2 linked regions of the Diceros bicornis minor genome follow. The protein of the gene in region 1 interacts with the protein of each later gene in a pairwise test. Links are inferred from orthologs where the notes say so. Each region holds a gene or a part of one and is shown in the gene's direction. Other genes may lie near its edges.

Region 1 (7,958 bases):
CTCCTTCTACTCCCCTTCCCTCTTCCCCTCCCTCTCATTCTCCCCCCCACCCCCCACGCCCCTTGATTGAGTTAATAGAGTTTAGTGAAATGAAGAGGAAGTTTTTACAGGGAGAGGCCCCTGTGCTTTGGAGGGAGGAGGGCTATGTGGGACAGGAGGAAAGGTGAGGTGGGGAGAGAAAGACCCATAAATTCCCCCTTCAAGAGACAAAAAAGTGTGCTTCTCTGTGTATCTGTTGGAGGGTGGGTGGTAGGTGACAGACCTGGAAGAAAGGAAATGAAAGTGGCCTTTCTCTTGATTTCCCATCTCTAGGAAAGGGCTTGCGAGCCCTGCCCATGCAAAGTGGGGGCCCAGTGCTACTGGCAGCATCCAAAGGCACAAAATCTTATGTTGAGTGCTATTCACACCAGAATGACTGTCTGGGTCCTGCACATCCCATGCGTTACTACAAGGCTGTCTAGGGAAGGCTGGTGAACATCAGACCCAATGTGATGAGCATACTGCATCAGTGGCGGTGATAAATTGTTCCATCTTTCATTCATTCATTCCAATCTGTATTTATTAACACTGACTGGAGGCTCTGCCCTAAATTGAGGCTTAGAGGCTGGAGGAGAAAAAGTAACGATGAATAAGTCACTTCTTTTCATTGCTTCTGTTTTCTCATCTCTAAAATAACAAGTTGGGATTTAACGCCTTTGCTTTGCTATGTTTCTTGTGCTTAACGAGCTTACACAGAGAGTCAGTTTGCTCTTGTGTGGGCCTGAGGAGCAGTGTTGGGCTGAAGGGCAGAAAGATGAGAGCTGATGCTTGTCTTATGCCTCCTTGGAATGAGAGGCCCTCTGAAAGCACCAGGGATGTAGCAGCTCTGTGCAAACTAGAGGTCTGGTATTTGCCAGAAGCTTTGGCATAATGCAAGGAGAAATAGTGCATGACTGATGTGATGGAATTATTGCTGACGATGAATTTCCTGTCCAATTAGTGAGGTGAGGCTGTGTGGGGGTTTCACTTAATTGGAACGTTCCTGAGCAGACATAGGTTTATTTACCATTTTGCATTGATTTGATCTCAGGAGATGAGAGGACAGCATGTTGAATTACAACAACCTTTTATTAAACAAAGTTCTTTCTCATTGACCTTTGGTTCCCCTTTCCCTACATCATGCTTCTGCATTTCTCCATAGAGCCTGTGCTGCAGCTTCTGGGCAACCACAAGTCACTCATGTTTGAAATTTTTTCAACGTCTGGTGCATTTGTCCCCTTATGCTCAAGTTACGATGACTGTCTCTAAGAAGAGTTTCCCGAATTGCTAGCCTGGAAACTCCTTGGGGTTCAAGGTCCAGTCCACGTGGGATCTCCCCTTACCATCTCCCAACACATCCTATCAGGAGGCCTGCTGGTAGAAGGAGCCCAGCAAATCTCTTTCAAAACATCTCACAGGTCTTTACAGGTGTAAACTGTGGCTGCAGTAGAAATACTGGATTTACATGAAATCCAGGGGATATCTGGGGGAGTTAACTATGGTTTCAAAAGGATTTAAAGTCCTTTCTCTCAAGGTAGTTCCTGTGAAGTATAGCAGAATGAGCATCCTAAGTTGGTGGATGAAGAACCAGGGAAAGAGAGAGATTTTTGTTAAATTTGGGGTTCAGTTAAGTATTCACAGTTCTGAGGAGACTCTTCAGGTCCCCACTTCACACCTTTCACAGTTGAGACCAGAGCTCATGAATCCCAGGCCCTTCCGCTCTGTAGATTAACTGCTGTCTCTCAGCAGCTTCAACCAAGGCCCATCCTTCTGTGAAAATGTTCCGTTGTTCAGATCAGGGACCAGGTGGGAAAAACTACCTATAAAATACTTTTTCTATTATACAAGTAAAGGGAAAACATTTTAAAAATCAGGAGAATAGAGAAAAAATTTCACTCTTAATAGCTCTGCTCTAGCCCAGTGGTTCTCAAAGTGTGGTCCCCAGAGCAGAGCATTAGCATCCCCTGGGAACTTGTTAGAAATGCACATTATCAGGCCCCACCCTGACATAGTGAATTGGAAACAGGATGTGGCCCAGCAATTGGTGCTTTCACAAGTCCTCCAGGTGTTTCTGATGCACGCTAAGGTTTGAGAACTGCTCTAGCAGCACAACCATTATTAGCATTTAATGGTAATCTTTTCATGAGTATGTGTGTGTGTGTATGCAGGCTTCACCAAACTGTCCGAGTACAAGAGCAGCATTGTACACTGTTCAAGCACTGTAACACTGATACTGACCCTAGGTTCATTAGGCTCTCTGTGTAATAGAAATTGACAAGAGGCACATCCAAAGTCCCAGACAGGTTTTATTAGGGCTTATGCTCAAGCACGATGGAGACAGCACAGAAGAGGCTCTCTGGCTGGCTCCTGGAAGGGAGCCGTCCTGAGTTTTTTATGGGGTGAGGGGAGGAGACTGGTGGCAGGATTCTCCGCCTCCAGACGCGTTCTGCTTCCCTCTTCCTGTTGGTGTGGCTGTGCGTACCCCATAGGGGTTGTGGTCCCTGCACCTGCCCAGTAGGTCTATCACGGCGGTGTTGCTCACTACCGCCGACCCAGAAAGGTCTTATAGTGGTTATCTAGAGGCTTTGTGCGCATGCGGGAGTCGGTGTCGACCGCTTTGGGGGGAAGTTTGCGGTTGGAACGTTGCTTGTCTTGACTTCGAAAATAGCTGGGTTGGGAGGTGCTGAACATGATGGTTAAGGGACAGGGGCAGAATCCCATCCCTATTCTGTCTCAAAACTAATCCCCAAATCTCTCTAGCCTAGAGCCTCACCTACTCGTGCAGTGAGTCTTGCATAGTTTCCTAGTGTCAAGAATCTGGGAATCACTGTGGTGGGCCTTATAGATGTGAATAAATGTGCCCCAGGCATACCACCTCATGAGGCCTTTAACGCCTTGTCCTGGAGTCGTGGATCCGCAGCCCCAGCTGTCTATCGGCAGGACTTTTGTCTTTCCCTGTCTGATGTTTCTCTGAGACACAGATTGGCCCTTGCTCTGACATTTCTTTAGAATGCCTTATGGATCACTAGAGCTTACTGTTCACCCTCTCTTAGCTGTAAGAGGTCAGGGTATGGTCAATGCACGGAGCCACCATTCCCTCTGACCCTCAGGCCTGGGGACTGAGTCTGCCCAGTGCTTCAGTGAGGATGCACAAAAGAGAAGACACCTCCCCAAACTCCAGTAAGGCTTTTTGTAGGAAAAAAAGAGGCCACTTCATGGACATCTAATGACAAACAATAAAATACATGTGGGCCATGGCAGGAACTGGAAAATCTCCCTTTATCTTCTAAGAAACAGAAAAGCATTTTCTTTATGTGCCTCACTCAGGATAGACTAGTTTTGCCACAGTCACAACCCCAGATTTAGTGAATTAAAATTACTCAGGTTTATTTCTCACTCATGCTAAACGTCTGTTAAACATTAGGTGGGGACTTTGCCCCACTTCGTCCTGACTCTGGATTCTAGTTGACAGACCACAACTATCTAGAACATTGTTGCAGAGGGAAAAGAGAGCTTTACAGCATCTCAAACCAACAATTAAATTCTTTGCCAAGAAATGAGTCACTTTCGTTCCTAACCCACTGGTTAAAACTTGTCACAGTGCCCCACTTAACCACAAGGGGTTTGAAAGGTTCAGTTCTACCATGATCTGGAAGGTACATGAACACCTGTGGTGGCTATCACTTGGAGATTTGCTCCTTTTGTCTGCTTTTCTCTGCATAGGGGGTCATGGGTCCATGTGCTTTCACTGCTCCATTACCCACCACTACCTGCTTGACTCTGCCTTTATGTCTCTCAGTTCACATCATCAACAAGGACTAGGACTGGGAGATCAGCCGATGGACAGGTCTCCTTGTATCAGAGGTTCACCCTGGGCCCAAGCAGCCTGGCCACAATGTGGGGCTGGGGTCTGTGGTTCCTCCCAGGCAGCAGGGGTGTGGAGGAAGCTGCCATTCTGCCGCGTGGTTTCCTTATTCATCCTTGGCAGTGCCTCTCATCTTGGCTTCTGTCACTCTGGTTTCTCCTTATATCTTTGGTCCCTATGTGGGGACAGTGTTCAAGTTCTTTTCCACGTGCTCCTCCGTCCAAGAAAGACCAGAGGAAGTGGCTCATTTCCAGAACACAGGCGACATACTCTGCTCCCAATTCACCTAATTCCATCAGAATTTCCTTAGTTCAGCCATATATACTTTGTTACATATGTTGTATTTGTACAATTTAGTGTCATGCTTTCTTCACATTACATAATGCTTATTTTAGACTGAAAATCCTAAATCTGCTATCATAAGTGAACACCAAGTTCATATTCGGACTTTTCCATTTCTGTAAACAGAGGATTAAATGCTAGTACTGTCGTAATATCCCACTTCAATTCTATTTACCTGACCGGCTTCAAGGTTTTAAAAATATCTTTTCTTCTTCTTAAGTCGTTAAATTGTATCAGCCCAAAGGAAAAAAAAAAGGGAGAGAGAAAGCGTCGGTGGCTTCCCCCGACGTTAAGTAGGCTTAAGGGATATTGAAACCAGGGCAGAGCAATGTTTTCTGTGACCAATCAAGCGGGGGCAAGGCAGAGAAGGAGCAATGACTTATGCATTACCCCAGATAGAGCGCCACTCCTCCTTTACAGGCTGCAGGGAGGCCGGGCTCAAAGGGCAGGCGGGCCGGCTGCAGGCAGCGCCGCTGCGGCTACCTGGAAGCCGAGCGAGTCACCTGCGTCGCGCCGGTGCCTGGGCTGCCAAGCTGCAGCGACCGGTCCGCAGTCCGCGGGGGCACGAACGACACTCGGGGCGGGATAGCGCCCTCGGCCGTCTTAACCAGGCCGCCGGCCCGGGGGGTGGGGGTGGGGGTGGGGGGGGTGCCGCAGAGCTAGTCCGCGCGGCGGGCGCCGGCGCCCAGGTAGCGCGTGCCGCAGCACCTGCCCCGCCAACCCCGCGCCCGGGGCGGGGCCTCCCGCGTCCCCTTTAAGAGGCCGCCTCACCCGCCCCTGACGTCAGGGTGTCTCTCCGCACGAGCCCGCGTCCCGCGCCGCTCCGCGCCCCCGCGCCCACAGCCCCGGCGGCGGCACGACGAGCGGCGGCCCCGCGAGCGCGCCGCCCCGCCCCGCCCGGCCCGCCGCCGCCTCCTGCCCGCAGCCGCAGCCGCCCGCGCGCCTTCCCTCCCTCACCATGTCGGTGGCCGGGCTCAAGAAGCAGTTCCACAAAGCCACTCAGGTAAGGCGCGTGACAGGTGCGCCGCGGGGCGGTCCGGGGAGGAGCTGCGAGGGGCGCGCTGGGCGCTTGCAGCCGGCGGGGAGCCGGGGACCCCGGCCCGCGCCCAACGCGCCCCGGCCGCGCCCCGCATCGCCCGCCCCGCCCGCCGCCGCGGCCCGGGGCATCCCGGGGCTGGGAGCCTGCCCTCCGTCCCCGCCCCCGGCTGGTGCGGCGCTGCGGGCGCCCGCAGGTCCCGGCGTCCCGCCGCGGCGCCCCGCGCGCCGCCCCCGCACCGCCCAGCGCGGGCGCCACGGGGAGGGGACCGCGCCGCGCAGATGCCCGGGCGGCGCGGCGGGAGGTTATGTAAAGTCGCCGCTTCTCCGGTGACCTTGCGGTGTCGGAGCGCCCGGCTGTCCCGGGATGTGCTGGCACGAGGGTGGCCCGCACTGGGGGTGGCTGCGGAGATGCCCGCGGTCTGCGCGCTTCCCCTGTGGTCTCTGGATCCCTCTTTCCACCGCATCCTGTGGCTCCAGAGGAATGGGAATGGGGCGTCCTCCTGGGAAGCACATGCATTAACTTTTCCTTGGAGAACTCGGTGCTGAAACTCCTCTGAGGCAAACGCTTGACCAGCGCTTAAAAAATGTCCCGTTGGTTTTGCAGCCGTAACGTAACCAAATTGTTGAAGACTTAAAATCATCATATATTTTAACGTGTTATTTTTAGTGAGCCTTTTACTGCTTGATGTGTCCATCTTTCTCTATTGGGTTAGTAAGCTGCGATTATAATAAAACTTAATTCAGATTCTAATAATTTAAATCTCATTGGGCTTGGTTGAAGAACTTTATCTAGGGACACATAAGTGAATACTTATAATGTGACCTATTTCTTATGTAATGAGTATGGTTACTATTTTTTTATCCTTCTGAAACAGTTCTAGTTTAAGGGATCTTTACCTAAGGACTTTGTTGATTTCTTTAAATATTTATCATAATTTAGCCTTAAATATTTTTTCATAGATTAGCCTTAATTAATACTGAGCTTTCTTATAATTTCTCAGAAGTGGTAAGGTTTTTCCCAGGCTACCACAATAGCAGTTCTGTTATAAACCACATCCAGAAAATGTGGTGTTACAGAATCTTGGTTAAGTTAGGGTGACAGATGCAGCATGAAATTCATCTTGTGTGTCCCTACATGCCATCTCCCTCACCACAGACTTGCCTTTATAGAATCAATTATATCTGTCAGTTTGGGAAATCAAGAAAACTAAGACGATTTCAGTTAAAAAATGCCTGCTAATATAATTATTTTTGCTTTTCAGATTGGATCTGTCTAAGACTTCTCTGCCAGAAGTGTTTGTACATATAAGTGCATTTTTGGTGTAATTTGGAAGGCCTCTAATGACTTGATACTTCAAATTCTGTCAGGTTTACAGAACCAGCGCATGTGCTGCCCGTAAATTCTCAGGCAGGTCTTCTATCTTTTTTTTATTTCGGATACTTTTCACTTCTCTAAAGTAGACCTCAGCACTGAATTTAATACCACCACATCCTTCTTTCACTTTGATTCTGACGACTTCCTTTGCAAATCTTGGTGCCATAAGAGGTGTTTAGGAACGTAATTGGAATGGGCAAGGCTAAAGCTTGACCCACCTCTGTGTCTATGACTTTGAGCAAGTTACTTAACTTTTGAATCTGTCTTTGCTAAACTGAGAAGAATATCCATTTCTTAGAATTGATGTGAGGATAAATGAGTTTGTAGAACATACATGAAAAGTGGTCAATAAATGGTGTTAACGTTAAGGATAATTTTGTTAGTATAAAATACTCTTCCTTGTGTTAGTAATAATGAGACAGGAAGAAATTATAGAAGCTAGAATTTTAGCTTTGCTATCTTACTAAATCCAGATGCAGAATTACTGCGTCATTTTCTTCTTTTTACTGAAAAGCCTTTTATTTTCAAGGTAAACTAACACTCAATCTGTTCTTATCCATAACTTAATATAGCACAATCTTAGAAGGCCCAAGGCAGAGGTTATTCTGCCTGTGCATGTATGAGTATTTTGAAGGGCGTGTAAAGCCAGTGCTACTGTTTGCATGTGACAGAGATTTAGGGGAAAAAGCCGTGTCTTACTTTTTAAGCCATTTTTCCCGTATACCTCCATGAACCTGATCTTATCTGCAGAGGAAGCTTTAGACCTGGAATTATTTTCTTTTGAGAATGGATATGCTAGATTAGATAGCCTGTGTTTATAAGTGGAAGGCCTCTCCTCAAGCAAACATTTCTCTTGTCTCTATGAAATTGAGTTTTTTGCTTATATTAGTGAGGGGTGATATTTATATTAATAAAGCAGTATACCTTTAGTGTTTACCCACTGATTTGAAATCTCTGATTAGATGTGTCAACTGTTCTCTTGGTTTAGAACTGATTATTTCTACCTTGTTGCTGACAGTTATTTTCAATATCTGCTATTTGGAGGTTTAAAAAGATGCTTTGCCAAATAAATTTTGTTAGAGGGGAAAATCCTTTCAGCTTGAGAATATATTAAAATAGCAAAAATTGATCATCTTTTTACTTTAATATACTTTATTACTTAATTGCTCATAAAGATAAAATGTACCATGCATTTAGAATAAATAAGATACTTTTTTTTTTACTGTAAAATAGGGCAAACGAGCATTATTAGTCTTCTTTTAGTGCATTTTATTCATATTGAGATTTCATTTTGGCAAGAGTAATTTCAATTTTTTTCAC
Region 2 (7,739 bases), on another chromosome or scaffold:
AATAATATATTCACATTTCTGTCACCCAGGGCAAGGGATTATGACTTTATTCATCTTTATATCCCAACCAAACACAGGGTTCAGCACATGATTGGCTGGACCAAATTTGTGTTAAAGGAACAAATAAGTCTGTAAACCATATATGAGAACTTTTTAAAAATAGGGAGGTATATATGTAAAAAAAAAAAAAAAACACTTTGTCTTAGCAAATTTTGTTACTTTTATTCTTAAAAAAGGGGATCACAAATGTAGTCCCAATTTTACAGTCCACAGAACATTTCTCAACCAGACTTGCCCAAATCAAGTTGGAGTGACTTTGAGTAAGAGTCTTTACTTTTAAGGCCTATCTAAACTGAGTCATTACTACACTCAGTCGTGAACAGGAAAATATCAGAGTATTTACACATGGAACAGGAAGGAAGTATACAGGATGGACGCAAGCGATACCTCCCCCCAGTAAAGACAAAAAGAAAAGCCCCTCTTGATTAAGTGCCTTCAGTGGGAAACTTATGAATTTGGTAAAAGTCAGGGAAGCTAACATGCAGAAAATGAGATTTCATTTACGGGCAAGGGGACTTTTCTATCTAGTAGTGACATTTAAAGGGTCATAGACTCCCTTAAATATCAGATGAAAGCCATGTTGCTCCTCACCAGAACATACTCCCCTACATATAAAATAAATACTCTCTATAAAATGTCTAGCATGAAATAATAACTCCACAAATATCAATTTCTTTCTCTTCCTCAATTTTCAAGTGGATAGTTCTAAGAGCTGGCAAAATTTGGGGGGAAAATAAATCAAGGTGTCATTTTTTTCTCTTTTAATCTCACGTTGGTGACTGTCCCCAAGAGGTGAGACTCGTTATGTGGAAGAAGACCAGATGTTCTAAGAAGCACGTGTTAGTCGTCCAGCCCAGGTGACCAGGGAGGAAAAACCAGGAACTGTCTGGTGGACACATTTCCACCAAGCAGTCCCCACTGTCTAGCACAGGGCCTAGCACTTGTAGGTTCCAGATAAATGTTTGAGCAAGGAATGTTTGAGCATTCCAGATAAATGTTTGGGAAGGATAGAGAGAGGGAAGGACAGAGAAAGGGGAGAAAAAGGAAGGGAAGGAAGATTGGAAGTGGTTGGGATTTTTCTTCTACCATAGAGCTTCAAGAACAGAGTCCTTGCCAGGCACAGAATGAAGGAAAACAGTTTATACCTCAAGACACACCTTCCCATACAGAATTTAGCAGTATCTGCACTGAGAGTCTTAAACTTCTTTGTTGACTCCTTTCCTGGAACAAAAAGAAATGGAAAGAAACAGACTGGGAAAACACATCAATTTCTAGAACATGTCACTGGGCTACAATTAACATAGAAGATTAAGAAGAGGCGCCATTTTCTTCTTTGGTAGGAATGGTGATCAGAAAGTTTGAAGCGGAGGACCATGTGGCGGAAACACAGAGACATGAACTCATCCTGTGTGTGGCCTCAGGCAAGGCCCTTCACACGCTGAAGCTGAGTTTTTCCATCTGTAAGATGTCGAAGTTGGTCCAGATCAATGGTTTTCAATCTTGGTTCTCCATTAGGACCACCTGGGGAGTTTCTAAATGTCCCCATGCCCAAGCCATGGCCCAGACTTTAGAATCTCTTGAGGTGGGGCCCAGGCGTCAGTAGTTTCAAAGCTTCCTGGGTAATCTCAGTGTGCGGCTGAACTTGAGAACTACTGGTCCAGGTGATCTCTAGACCCTCACTACCCTAAGTGGTTCTCAGACAAGCAGCCTGGGCATCACCTAGGGTCTTTTTAGTAATCAAGACTCAGGCCTCACTCCAGAGCTACACAATTAGAATCTGCATTTTTACAAGAAAGTAATTTGTACTGACATTAAGGTCCGAAAACTCTGCCCTAGATACTCTTCCACCGAGCTCTTGCATCTGACAGTGCTTTGCTTCTGGTAGTGATATTTCAATATAATTTTTAGATCTCAGCACCAGGACCATCATAAGTGTTAAAAGTTCTACATGTATGTTACGTGTATACATTGAGAAAGCACAAAAATATCCCATCACACCTGTTCCATGCAGGGGGCTAAGTGGAAATAGATTGAAAAAAAAAATGTAGACTGTAAAAGGTGCAGAGGATTTTATGGGATTCTCATCAAAGATGGTTTTTCCTTTGTAGAATGGAGTAGGGTCCTCTAAAGAGCAGTTCTCTTCAAAGTCAGCATTGCCCTTGTGGTTATTAAAAACACCTGCCTCTACATGGCAATTTGTATCCATCTTCTCACCAGGCAACGCATCACTTCCAGGTTCCTTCTCTGTTCTTCTTACTACCTGACTGGCGCCTTTGTCTCCAGGCCTGTCCCGCCTCGCCCTGCCCTGCCCCAGGAAATAGGAGCACTTCAACAGTCAGCATCTATGGGATTTTCTCTGCCCTCAGCACAGCAGGTGGAAATCCCAGGATCGGCACCCTGGTAGAAGCCTTCAGGCGATGACTGAATGGAGATGGTGTCTAAATACTCCAGCTCCCTCGCCTTTAGGCGAGCTCACGTGGAGATGTATGTTCTAGGCTGGCTCTGGGAGATGCCCAGTGGCATGAAGTTCCTGTTGCCCCCAGTGATGACTTGATACACACCTACCTACCATAGTTTTCCTCCCAGATTGACTCCCTCACTCCCCGGCCAGTGTTCTCTGCACCTCCAGAATAAACTACTTCCACTCGAATCCTTGCCTTAGGGTCTGCTTGTGGGGAAACCCACACCCAGCCAAATTTTATATTCCACTTGCTTTAAGATATTTGCAGGTATATAGTTCATACTTTATATTGTTTTCTTTCAATTTTAATATTTTTGGTAAATAAAACCAGTTACAGTATGAAGAGTTGAAAGGGTTTTGGTCATAGCCTTGAAGAGATCATCTTATTACCCTATTCATGAGACTCATTTGACACTTGAAGTCACAAAAGAGTAAGAAGATGAGAAAAGGGATTTATATCACAGCAGCAGGGCCCTGGTTTCCAATCCTGGTTCTACACTTGATAGCTGTATGACCTTGGGCAAGCTACTTAATCTCTCTCTCAGTTTCTTGTTACTTCAAACTTGGGGGAACTAATGATCCTTACTTATAGAAGTGTGGGTGTTCAGTAAAGATGATGCATGTCAAGTGTTGAGGACAATGCCTGTTACTGTCAGCTATGAACAGCTCAAGGCCTAACTGGTTACTAACCAGGGATATTGAATCCATTAGAATGCCTTCAACCATAAAACAGAAGATCCAACTCAACATGGCTTACACCAATAGGGACCTCTATGGTGTAAATCAAGAATCTGCCCCAAAAATATTCCCCACCCCCACTTCTCACATTTCATTGGCTAGAATTAAGGCATATACCCATTATATAACCATGAATCAAGCTTATAATCAAGACAAACCTCCTCTTTCTCCATATTCTTCATTTTATTTCCAACACCAGGGCACAGGTGTGTCAGAGAGCTATTGCTGTGTAACAAATTATCACCATAAGCCTTGGTAGCTTGGCTGGCCCTGCTGCCCTTGGCTGAGCTCATTCTCGTATCTGTGAGTTGGCTGATAGACACCAGGCTTGACCCAGTAGTTCTGCTTCAAGCTATAGGTCTGCAAATTGACCAGGTAGCTCTGTTCCACCTGTTCCTCAATCTCCTTAGGCCACGAGGCTAGCTTGTGGGCGTGGTCTTCTCATCTCCGTGATAGAGATCTGGTGTCTTACCGCCTAGATTTGGAACTGACCGTTATGCCATTGCTCAAAGCAAGTCACACAGCCAAGTCCAAAGCCAAAGTGTGGGGCCATAGGCTCCGCCCACCGTGAAGCCAAAGAGTGTGGATGCAGGGAGGGGTGAGGGAAGGACCAATCATTCATTCTATAACAAGTCGTCAGAGCTAAGGTAAATACTCAAGTGAATTCTCTGAAATCATATAGCATTCGTGTTTCTGCCATTAATTTCTGCACTGGTTAGTACATTACAATATCATCTAGTGGTCCCATGTAAGTCAGCTGTTGCAAATGAGCACGGGCGATCACTTGTCAAAGGAAGGGGTTGCACAGGACTTGGTGACCTTCCACCTCTAGCAGCCCATGATTTGCAGTTTGTGGAAGAAAGCCTGGCAGAGTATGAAAACCTAAACAAAAGTAAGATAGAAGTGTCATTCTGAACCAGCATCCTTGGTTCCTGCTTTGACTTAACTAAATTCTTAAACCCTCGGGCGCAGGTATCACCGAAACCTGTCCCATGTCTGAAAGAGATGGCGATACGTGGTGACTCCGACAAGAGTGAAGCGAACTGAGTCTGGGGGAAGTTGCTCGGTGAACAGAGAGCGCGGAGGATGCGCGGGTCGTGCTGTAGGCGGGTCCCAGGCAGATGTGCAGGGCCCGCTCCGCCCTCTTCGCGCACCGGGCCGCGCTTCACCCGTGGAGGACCCGCCGCGCGCCTAGCCAGGGCGCCCCCACCTCTCTCGAGGCCGCGAGCGCCCCCTCCGCAGTGCCCGGCACCCGCTCCCGCGGGGACCGCGCCTGTGAGGAGCAGGGACCCGGAGCGGCAGAGAACAGAGGCGGCGGCCCCGCTGTGCCCTGGGTCCCGCGCCCGCGCCCTCCCGAGGGGGCGCAGGAGGAGGAACGGGAGGCGTTGGCAGAGGGAGGACCCGCGCGAAGATGCCGCTGTCCTGGGCCCTTGCGCTCCCGCTGCTTCTCCCCTGGGTGGCAGGTGGATTAGGGAACGCGGCCAGGTGAGTGTCTGGCTGGCGATCGGCCCCCCGTCTGAGCTCCCCCATGAGGCCCCTTCTCTTTGTCCCCCGTCCCTCTAGGCACCCCCGCGAGTGTGTGAGCGGGTGTGTGTGCAAGTGTCTCTGTGCGCGCTGAGACGGGATTTCACAAGGACGTCAGGCCCGAGTGCCCACGGGCTTTCCTCCCCTCGCCCCTTTGGCGGGGCTTTGCACCAGTTCCCTCTGCATCAGCTGCGCCCCACCTGGCAGCGTCCTGCGGGTTCCGGGAGGAAGGAGGCTCTGCGCGCCGGCCCGTGGGTGCGCTCTGGCTTGGTGGTCTGCAGACATCTACTGTGGGGGCGCGTGTGTGAATGTCTGTATGTGTGTAGGTGGGTGGGTTCTGTGCCTGTCCAGTTTTGTGTTTTCCGCTCTATCCGGAGGGCGCCAACTGATTGTCAGCCGCTAGTTTTGCTGGGGAAGGAGGGAAAGAAACTGAGCAAGACAGAGTAAGCGTTGACTGTGCTTGGGCTGAGCCCGCCGTGAAGGGGCTTCCTCTACTCAATGCCCTTCTGATTAAGGTTGATGAACTGGAAAGAAGGGACGCGGTTGTCAGATGAAATCGACTTATTCTTCTTGCTATGGCATTTCAGAATCTGAGGCCATTTCATTACTGCCCCTAAGCTTTTCTAAGCCCTGAAACTGATTTTTCCAGAGATCAGCAAAGCCACTGAGTAAATACATACTTATGTAGTGCTTACTGTAGGCCTGGTGCTCTTCTGAACACTTGAAGACTATTCACCCATTTAAAGCCCATAACTGCTTTGTGTGGAAGGTACTATTATTATCATCACCATGTTGTAGAGGAGAAAAATGAGGCACAGAGAGGGCAACTAACTTGCCCAAGGAGGCACAGCCAGTAAGTGATGGAGCCGGCGTTCAAACCCAGGCAGTCTGGCCCAGAGTCCTTGCTCTTCACCGGTGCACCAGGGCAGCCTTTGGGGAGTTACTCACTGGAAAAGGTTTCCTGGTTCTCTGGCTGTGATGCCTTGCTTTCTGAGGTGTCCACTAGAGCAGGGTTTCTCCACTGAGGCACTATTGACCTTTGGGGCTGGGCTGGACAATTATTCGTTCCGGGGTGGAGAGAGTGGACCTGTGAATTGTAGGATTTTTAGCTGCGTCTGTGGCCTCTACCCACTAGATGCCTGTAGCAACTTCCCCAAGTTGTGACAACCAAAAAATGTCTCTGGACGTTACCCAAGGTCCCCGGGTGGGGGGGGGGGGCAGAATCACCTCCAGCTGAGTGAGACTGCACTATGGAGACTTTTTGGTCAACAATTCCTGGGGAGAGCAGGCTGAGAGCCTTGGTTTGGTACAGGCTTCTTAAAGGTGAGCCCGACTATCTTTGTCTGACTTACAGGAAAAAAATCTTTCATCAGTCAGCCACAGTATTAAGGGATTTTGAAGTTCAAACAGAACAAACCTCAAACCAGGTTCTTAGAATGTCTGATCACAAGTTTAATTTCCTTTTCATGATAAAAATGTAAGCAGATGCAATTTGCTCCTAATCACATTTTCCTTGAATGTTGGAGGTTCTCGTATTGTTAGAAAGCCTGCTGAAGAAAGACCAAGCACTATTTGGATATGAGATTAATAGCTCTTTAGCAGCCGGCAAACTGACCTCCAGGAGCTTCACTTTCAAAGTGCTACCAAATTAAATTAAAAGCCGAAAAGCCCCCAAATAAACCAAAGAATATTAAAATGGAGAATCCATGTCAAGATTCTGCAATTCTGCAGTTCTCAAATGTGAAACGTGGTTTCTTTACACGGTATCAGGTTCACGAGCTGGTATGTTTATTATCTGCTCAACATGCTTGGAAGTGGCAAGTGGTCAGCGCTTCGGGAACTGCCAGGAACCATGGTAGTCAACTCCAGCCTCCAAGTTACGGGCGACACATGTACAGAAAAGGCAAAACAGTGTGTTGCACTTTTGCACATTGCAGAAAAGTATGTCTACTGTTTATTTCCTGAGGTTTCACAACTTACAGTAAACATGGTGACTGCTATATAGAGATTCTAATACAAGCACCAGATTTTTTTTATTTGAAACACTACACCATAGTTTTAGTGACCTAGAAAATTATACGCCTCTTAAATGGTACTTAGTAGACAATTAACACTCATCAAATGAATAAATCATTAGCAGCATGTGTTTCGCTGATCGAAAGCATCAGAATTTGGCTTGAAACCTAGACGTTTTTATGCCCTTTGGGCATTGGGACTCTTTAGATACTCTCGACCTACTTTGTCCAATATAGTAAATACGGTAGTCACTAGCCCCATGTGCCTATTGAGGACCTGAAATGTGGCCAATCCAAGTTGAGATGTTGCAGTTAGTATAAAATACACATCAGCTTTTGAAGACTTTGTATGGAAAAAAAGAACGTCAAATATTGCACTAATCATTTTACATTGATTACATGTTGCAGTGATAATGCTGTTGATATTAGATAAAGTATATTACTAAAGTTAATTTCACCTGTTTCATATTTATGTAAATGTGGCTACTAGAAAATTTTAAATGCCACATGTGGCTATTATATTTCTATTGGACAGTTCTGGTCTAGAACATTTATTGATCTGAACTCCATCTCCAGTGTTCCAGGTTCTAACTCTGGCATCTTTTTGACTTGGGCACATAAGATAAATGCGTTATTAACTTTGCTATGCTTGAGATTCAAGTTTGGAGCAACTCCCTACTTAAATTTTTTAGAAATTTTTTCTCTATTGAATTCAAGTAAAAGTAATGTGAGAGGTGAAGGAATAACTGGGTTTGTGCTGGGGGTCCACACTCATGGAGAGAGGCTTGCTTTCTGCCAGCCACACCCTACTTCGAGAATTGATTCTTCTCAGAGCCCTGTTAGGGAAGTGCCATTGTAACAATTTACCACAAACTTAGTGGCTTAAAATAGCACAAATTTATTCTCTTACCGTTCTGGAGGTCAGAAGTCCAAAATGAGTC

Evidence for each region.
Region 2: the proteins of SH3GL2 (region 1) and EGFL6 interact in a two-hybrid assay, tested with the Homo sapiens proteins (2 studies listed by BioGRID and IntAct). The link is inferred for Diceros bicornis minor from reciprocal best matches to the Homo sapiens genes SH3GL2 and EGFL6.

What each region holds. Positions count from the first base shown.
Region 1 is NC_080761.1:40,042,919-40,050,876, forward strand, and holds the start of SH3GL2 (endophilin-A1), read left to right. Parts: upstream 1-4,956; 5' UTR 4,957-5,183; coding exon 5,184-5,228; intron 5,229-7,958. UniProt on the Homo sapiens protein: Implicated in synaptic vesicle endocytosis. May recruit other proteins to membranes with high curvature. Required for BDNF-dependent dendrite outgrowth.
Region 2 is NC_080781.1:10,980,675-10,988,413, forward strand, and holds the start of EGFL6 (epidermal growth factor-like protein 6), read left to right. Parts: upstream 1-4,511; 5' UTR 4,512-4,670; coding exon 4,671-4,744; intron 4,745-7,739.